Linked DNA regions of Mus musculus. The protein of the gene in region 2 interacts with the protein of the main gene of each other region in a biochemical or structural test. Links are inferred from orthologs where the notes say so. Each region holds a gene or a part of one and is shown on either strand. Other genes may lie near its edges.

Region 1 (4,603 bases), on a different chromosome or scaffold from region 2:
GCCCCTGCCCTCCAGCATCTATGGCACAGAGCAGTTCTGCGCAGCAGGTCAAGGGGCCAGAGGCTCAGAGGTAGCAAGTCATTTCCCTAAGGTCACACAGCCAGCAGATGGCAGGGCCAGGGTGGAACAGCCTGCTGATGAAGACAAAGCTACTACTAATCTCTGCACTCTGTAGCCTCCAAGCTTTGGAATAAAGGTAAAAGCTGCAGGCCTAATTCTGGGTAGGGGGCCTGGAGACCCCAGATGTGTATGAGCCTGGACTCCTCTGCCTTCAAGACCCCGGGGCAAGTCCCCTCCCCCACTCTACCGGTTCTCCATCTGTCAAGTGTGCTCTGTACCAGATGATCTCCAAGGCTTTGGCAGCGTCTCCGTCATTCCCCAGGATAGGGGCCTCAGCACAGGCTCCAGCAGCCACCAGCGCTGCTAGAGGGATGAGCAGACCTTGAGGGTGGAGGTTGCCCCATCCCCAGCAGCTAATGAGCCTAGGAGAGGCAGAAGGGGGTGGAGTGTGGCCTGAACCCCACCTCTCAGCATAGCCTCCCGAAAGGGAGGCAAGTTTCTCTGCCAGCACCTGCCTAAGTCCAAAGGGGTTCATTGAGGCAAGTCTCTTCCTCAGGTGAGAGAGATGAGGCTAGCCAGCAGGGTACAGGGGTTCTGGAAAGATCTTGGGAGGAGGAAGGATGGCAATAGGAACTGCTGATGCTCCCACCCTACACACTTCAGATAAGGTCTTCCCAGGGCAGCCTCATCAAAGTCCAGGCAGGAGAGTAGGTATTTAAATTCCTGATTAAATATCTTGAGGGACATAGAACTCACCACTCACAGGTTAGTGACTCTATTTCTTATTCTTTTTTTTTTATATATATATGAAAAACATCTTCCACTTTGGAATCCTCCAGCTGGGGTGAACTTAGACCAAGTTTGGTCATTCATTCATTCATTCATTCATTCAAGTTTTATTGATAGGTCCTGTGGGCTAAGCCTGTGCCAGTTTGGGGACAATAAACATGCCAGGGAAAAAGCTGTTGCTACCTTGAGGTATTGTCTATGACTGGTATCCCAAAGCCAGGGAAGAGACTGGCTGGGCTGAAACTGCTCAGCTTGAGAAAAGAAGTCAAAGACGCTTGAGCATCATTAAATAGGCTTTAGTGGGTATCCTCCCACCAAGATTGTGTAACAGAATTCCACCAGGTGACTGTGTTACTGAGAATCCTCTAGTGGGGAGGATTTGGAAGATATGCTGCATTATCCGATTAAAGCGGATCGTGGAATGCTTCTCCTTAGAGTCCCACCCCTGAGGCGGCAACATCACCGTCCTCAGCAGCTAAGAGCTCTTGCTGAGGGCCTGGGTTTGATTCCCAGCACCCACGGTGGTGACTCACAATCGTGTGTAACTCCAGGTCCACAGGATCTGATGCCCTCCTCTGGCCTCTTGGTGCGCATGCACATGGTGCACATGCAGGCAAGATACTTGCACACAGACAATAAAATAATTGATTATTGATATCAATACTATCTTATTGATAGAAGACATCCAGGAAAATGTAGTTCTCAGCACGTGTATCTACCTATATTTCTTTCTCTCTATACAAACACACACACACACACACACACACACACACACACGACAATGGAGCTTGAGGAAAGGAAAATGTTTGGGTGGGGTCTTAGAGTATTAAACACACTGACCAGGGTCTTGCCCTCTTGTCAATGACAACGGAAAGGTTTAGGGGAGACTAGCTGCAGTTAAGGGCTATGTCCAATTGAGTACTCAAAGATTCGGATGTAGAAGACAAGAGGGGTCATCACCAGGCCTTGGGAATTCCTAGAAGCTTGTCTTCCCCTCCTCCAAATCTTGTCTAATTCTCCAAATCTTGAATCTTTAATTCCTGGTTCCACTCTCAATTGGCCCCTACTCTGGTTTAAATTTTAAAAAAAAGGTTCTTGTCATATCTGAACTTGAGGCCGACCTTAGACTCTCACCTCACATACCTTGATCTAATCTTGGCACCCAAACCTGCCCTCTGAACAATTTGCACGTCTTAAGCTTAACTCTCACTTTCATCATCCAACCGAGGCCCAGGCCTCACTCTAGATCTCAATGAACACCTGGAGCAGCAAGCCGCATCCCACAATGCCCCAAACATTCCAGAATTCTGTAGCTGCATTTAGAGTAGCTCACCCCTCCCACACACCCCACTTCGACTCCCAGGTTAGCTTTGATAGTGGTCCTTCCTTTGCCCAAAAGTCCAGAAGGAGCTGCTGTCTCCCATTCTGTCTCAGCCTCAGCCAGCATCTGGTCCAGCTGTAGCTTCCTCTCTCCATCATCCTATCCCACCTCGACCTGTCTCCCATCCAGATCTCTCTCAAGCCCATTTGACACAGTGATGCTCAAGGGACCCGCCCCTGCCCCGCCCCTCACAGGAGCCACGCCCCTTTGGCATTAAGCCGGCCTGTGGCCCTTGCCCCTATTGGAACCCTGACCCCACCTACAGCCCCGCCTGTCCGCCTCGCACCTGCAACTCCTCGAAGGCATCGTCGATGCCAGTGACCTGGTGTTGCTCGTGCAGCGCGGGCTCATCACAGAAGAAGCAGAGCAGTGCGCGGTCCGTGAGGCAGAAGAGCTTGACCTTGTCGTGAGCCTGGCAGGGTCGCGCGGCTCGGCGCGCGTTGAGGATGGCGTCCAGCGGGAAGGCGCTGTAGCGCTCCACGATGTTGGCCAGCTTGAGGCTGGGCGCGAGCGCGGGCTCGGCGAACGTGCGCCGGCACTCCGGGCAGTCGCGGGCGCCCTGAGCCTCCTGCCGCACCCAGTGCTCGGTGATGCAGCGGCGGCAGAAGTAGTGCTCGCAGCCCAGGCTCACCGGGTCCTGGTAGATGCTCAGGCAGATGGAGCACAGCAGCTCGTCCTTGAGGCTGCACGCCATGGCGCCAGGGGCGGCGCGAAGCGGAGCCCGGGAGGCCGGCGGCCGGCGCGGCGCGATTGGGGGCGGTACCCGGGGGCCAGGCCCACGGGGGCACGGGCGACAGGCGCCGGGGAGCGCGGGGGGAGCTGTCTGCGACGCCGGAGGCGCGAGGGCTCGGTGCCGAGTGGGTGCCACCCGGGATGCGAGCACCGGAGCTCGGTTTCGAGGTCCTAGGTGGCCACCAGCGATGGGCGCTGGAGGAGAGAGGCCGAGGGCGTCCCAAGGAAGGGGCTCCAGGCGAGGAGGATCTAGAGGACCAGACACTCCCAAGGGATAGATGCTGCGAGGAGGAGATCCCGAAGAGGGGCGGAATCCCGGGACCCGAAAAGCTTTGAGAGGGGGTCGAGCTGGGGATGGGGAATTCTGCGGGACAGAGCAGCCAGACCCAGCCGCACCGCGGCTTTGCCCGGCAGAGCAGAGGAGGGGTGCCGGCCCACTCAGCTGCCCGACCCTGGCCGCAGATCCCGGCCCCGCGCGGCCCCTTACCCGCACCAGCTCAGCGGCCACCGCTTCGGTCCAGCGCAGCCTCTCAACCCGGAACCAGCCGAGCCGAACTGCCCGGCGCCCAGGCTCCCTCTCCGCCCCCGCGGGCGGGACCCGAGCCGCTCCGCCCCCGCGGCGGGCGGGGGGAGGGGAGGGGCCTCCAGACCCCGCCTCGCTGCCACTGTGCTCCTGACCCCCAGGGACGGGAAAAACAGCTGTTTCTTCTGGGTCTGCACAGCTGTCAGGTTTGTTTAGGGTCCTGGCGGCAGGGGGCGAGAGGACAGCTAATGAAGAAAAAGTGAGAAGATAGCACCTAAGGAACATCTCTCCGGATGATCAATTTGAAGAACTAAGGGCAATAATAACTGAGTATTAAGACAAGACGGTGCTCTGTAGTCTGCATAGAATATATAATGTTTGCATAGATTGTAGTGATAAAATTAGAGACTTGCCCTGTTGGCATGGGCTAAGTTCAAAGTCGCCATTCTCCTAAACCTTTAGGTTCTATTTCCTCTTCCCTTTCTAAGGAGGGCTCTTAGTAGAAGATTGTGGAGAGAACCCTGCCTAACGTCTAGCTCAAAGGTTCTTTCCATTCATCGGATGTTTCTGCATTGCTGTGTGAGCATGTGTGTGAGTGTGTGTGTGTGTGTGTGTGTGTGTGTGTATAAGAAGTTGGAGTAAGAAAAAAAGTATAATGGGAGACCTTGTCATCTCTGCCAGATGGAGGGGAGGAAAGGGATTTCTAAGAAGGTGAAAGAGAGAGACAGACAGACAGAGAGACAGACAGAGACAGGGAGAACAGAAGCATGAGTGGGGGGGGGCACATGGAGACCTGCATGCTGTTCTGTTCTGTTCTGTTCTGTTGAGAGTGGGATAAGGAAGAAGTTTGGGGAAGGTGAAAGGCATGGGCATCTTAGAGAAGAATTTCTTGAAGGTGTTGGGCTTTCGAGCAGAAAAATGGCCTGCCTTGGTTTGGGTTTCTTGGTGTGCAAGATACACACTACATCATCAGTACAGTGAAGGAGGGGGACCCTTTGCATGCATGCAGTGCTAGGCACGGGTGAGCAACTGTGGCAAAGCCGAGGCCTGCAGGAGGAAGGAAAGGCTGGCCCCAGGGAGGTGGTTGCTGTCTCAGGACCTGCAAGAGGTCAGTTTGC
Region 2 (3,418 bases):
GGACTCCGTCCCAGTCAGGCCAACAGGCAAAGGAAACCCTAGCATGAAGCTCTTGTCCTGAGAGGCCAGGATATGGGACATTAGTCTATGACTCACTTCTCACTTCGCTCACAGCAACAGCTTAGAGTTTGGCCAGCACTCTTCCCTGAATCCAACCCAAAATGAGAGAAAAGGGACAGCCCAGTTTAAGGGGACAGGACCATGTGGGAGATGAGTGTGAGGTCAGGTAGAGGTTGAAGGCCAGGGAAGGACCACTCTATGTCCACACTCACCTCCTGGGAGTTCCTGGGTGAACTGTCTTCCAAGTCAGAGCTCTGTGGCCACAGAAAAGGGAGTTGGTCAGTGGGCTGTAGGGGTTCCAAGCACCTGGGTATGGGGTGTGTAGGGCATGGTAAGAGCCCCATCCAGGCTCCATCCTCTAGGGAGGCCCTGCACATGTTTCTAGATATGCCCAGAATATGTCTTTCTTAACACTACACTCCAAGCCACCTGAAGGTTACTCCTTGGTCAAGGCTGCAGTCATTGGAGTGGTGTGGATAACCTTGAGTTACATCTGTGGCTGTCACTTCGCCATGAAGAGCTCTAATGAGGAAAACTGGGATTTAGGAAGGCCAGGCATTTTCCGAGGCCACAAGCAGGGCAGCAGTCATGGCAGGTTAGTGATAGGGCTGCTTCCAGGCTGATGGTTCCTCTTGGAATCCTGCCTTGACTTCACATCCTCCCCAGCTCTCTCACTGCCCAGCCCACCCTGGCGACAGCAGACACAGAGGCCTACCAGGATGAGCATGTCCAATTGCTGCTGCTTGAGTCTGCCCTCGGCGGCCAGTAATCGGCTCTCCGTCTGGAACAGCTGTAGCTGCAGCTCATCTGCCTTCTCACCCAGCTCTCGAACCAGCTTTCGAAGCTTATCTTTGTCCTGAAAGCTTTGGGTACACTGTGCATGCAGCTCTTCCCTGGAGGCCATAGCCTGTAGGAATAGCAGAGGGCACACCCTCAGCAAAGGACCTGGTTGATGCTCTTGGCTCTCATTTGGCAGTTCAGGTCCTGGCTGGACATCAACCACCCTGGTGTATGGCTGGAACTGCTGAACTGGAGGGATTCTCAAAGCAGTCAGGGCTCTCAGTGTACATGAACAAACCCTGGGCGGAGTTGGAAATGACCAGATTCTTAGCACTGGGGAGGCAGAAGTGGGATCAATAGTTTAAGGCCATCTTTGCACATATATTGAGTTGAAGGCAAGATTGGATTACATGAGACACTGTCTCAGACAACAAAACAAAACACTTCAGAGAAGCAGCCAAAAAAACCCGTGATTAATGCTCAGTAGTTCATAGGAAGCCCAACTGAGAAGTCCTACATCCCCAGCAGATAGCCAGTGGGTGTTTCTGTCCCACCTATGTGACATATTTTATAAATTCTGGATGCAGCTTGACATTAAAAAACAAAACAAAAACAAACAAACAAAAAAAAAAACAAACAAACCAGGATTCATGGCTGTTCTTAAATGAACACAAAGGTTTTTTTCTTTTGTTTCTTGGAAGACAGTTTCATTATCCCAAGGTGGCCTCCTATTTACTGTTAGCTGAGGTTGGCCTTGAATCTCTGACTCTCCTGTCTTTACCTCTAAATCCGGGGACCAGCATGCTGGGACTGCCATGTACTACCAAACATGGCTCAGCTGCTACCGCTTTTGTTATTGTTAGTGGTGGCTTTTTGAGACAGGGTCTCACATTGGACCCCAAACTGGCTTGGAATTCATGGTAAATCAGGCTGCCCTTAAATTCACAGTAATTATTTTGTCTCAACCTCCAACTGCTGGGATTGCAGGTGTGAGTTGCTACTACTGCCTCTGCCCGGGAGCCACCACAGGTTCTTGTACCAAATGCTCCCTACCCACAGCCTATGCACCTAGCAGCTTCCTCTCCCTACTGAAGTCTCCCACCTCCTTACCCCACCCCCACCCCCACCACAGGGACTGCTGTGTTCTCCTCCCGCATAAGCTCCTCCTTTGAATAAGGTAGACTTTGATGCATTTGTACAAGCAGTCCCGGGTTCTGTCTTCCAACACTGCCAAGTTACCCTGAGCATAAATAAAAAAAACAAAACAAAACAAAACACTTTGACTACTGCTCCAGTGTCTGCCGCACCAATACCCCAACACTCCTGGTTCTCCGTTTCTGAACACAAGTGTGGCACCTACCTGGTCCCTCTCAATGGAGACCTCCTCCATCTGCAGCAGGATAGCCTCGATACGGTCCTTGTACATCTTGGCATCCTTGCGCAAGGCCAGGCACTGCAGCTCGAACATCTCCTTTTCTTCCGTGCACTACAGGAAGCACCACTCAGCCTCACCCTCCCCTCCCTCCTCCTCCCCCTGGGCTGGACTCAGAGCAACAGCTCCAGGGCACACAAGGTCTGGGATAATGAGGAAGGCACTGGAGTTCCAGTCCAATCTAATCCAAGACTAACCTAGTCTAAGACCATGGCCTCAGCCACCATTGGTCACACTGTAAGCCCAAAGGGTGACACGGCACTACTGTGTACTGTACGAATTGACAGTGAGCCAGGTCCCAGACCCCACCATCCAGGATCCCAGTGGGCATTGCTTGTCTGCCCTGGTCTCTCACCCGGGCCCGGAGGGTCTCAGCCTGGCGGAGGTCCTTCCGTAGGGAGAAGATGGTGCTGACCTGCTTCTGGTGTTCCTGCAGTGCTTGACGCCAGTCCTCCTCCAGCACTTGAATGTATGGACTATTCCTGTCTAGCTTACCCTCCTGGAGGTGTCAGAAGGCAACAAGCCTGGCTGAGGAGGCCCACAATGGCACGGCCACTGCAGTTGTACCATCTGGTGTGCCCAGCTTCAAGCCCCTGCAGGCATGAGGCCTGATGTGCACTGGTGGGTCTCCCTACCTGCACAGAGACCTGCAGCTCCTGCACCCGGGCCTGCAGCAAGTCCTTTTCCTGCTGTAGTTCCCACAGCAGCTCCTGACTAGGCCGCTGCTCCATGGCGTGCCTGAGCTTCAGTGTGTGTTTGCGCTCCACCTTGCAGTCATCCTCGGCCTTCATGAGGCTGTGCCTGAGCCGGTCCACCTGTGGGTGGCCCAGTCAGCTGCAGCCTCCTCCAGGCCACCCCCTGCAGGTGGAGAAAGTGATTACCTCAAGCTGCAGGTCACGGTTCCGCATGAGTGCTGCGCCCTTCTCTTCACTCAGATGTGCCAGGCACATGGCCAGCTCATAGTTCTCGTCCTTGCAGCGCTTCAGCTCCGCACTGCTCAGCTCACACTCCTCCTTGAGCCGCTGCACCCGCTCCTGGTGCTTGCGCAGTAGGCTGTCCTTTACCCTCAGCTCCTTGATGAAGTCGTCCTTGGAGCTCAGAAGGGCCGTCAGGTCCTGAACCTTCTTCTGCAGCTTCATGACCTCT

Evidence for each region.
Region 1: of the proteins of Card9 (region 2) and Trim62, one has a biochemical effect on the other in vitro, tested with the Homo sapiens proteins (4 studies listed by BioGRID, with this or other methods). The link is inferred for Mus musculus from reciprocal best matches to the Homo sapiens genes CARD9 and TRIM62.

What each region holds. Positions count from the first base shown.
Region 1 is NC_000070.6:128,882,491-128,887,093, reverse strand, and holds the start of Trim62 (E3 ubiquitin-protein ligase TRIM62), read right to left. Parts: upstream 3,051-4,603; 5' UTR 2,925-3,050; coding exon 2,517-2,924; intron 1-2,516. UniProt on the Homo sapiens protein: E3 ubiquitin ligase that plays a role in antifungal immunity by mediating 'Lys-27'-linked ubiquitination of CARD9 downstream of C-type lectin receptors; leading to CARD9 activation, followed by activation of NF-kappa-B and MAP kinase p38 pathways.
Region 2 is NC_000068.7:26,354,558-26,357,975, forward strand, and holds part of Card9 (caspase recruitment domain-containing protein 9), read right to left. Parts: coding exon 3,154-3,418; intron 3,088-3,153; coding exon 2,908-3,087; intron 2,772-2,907; coding exon 2,628-2,771; intron 2,327-2,627; coding exon 2,201-2,326; intron 968-2,200; coding exon 776-967; intron 367-775; coding exon of another isoform or gene 340-366; exon of another isoform or gene 315-339; coding exon 273-314; intron 1-272. UniProt on the Homo sapiens protein: Adapter protein that plays a key role in innate immune response against fungi by forming signaling complexes downstream of C-type lectin receptors.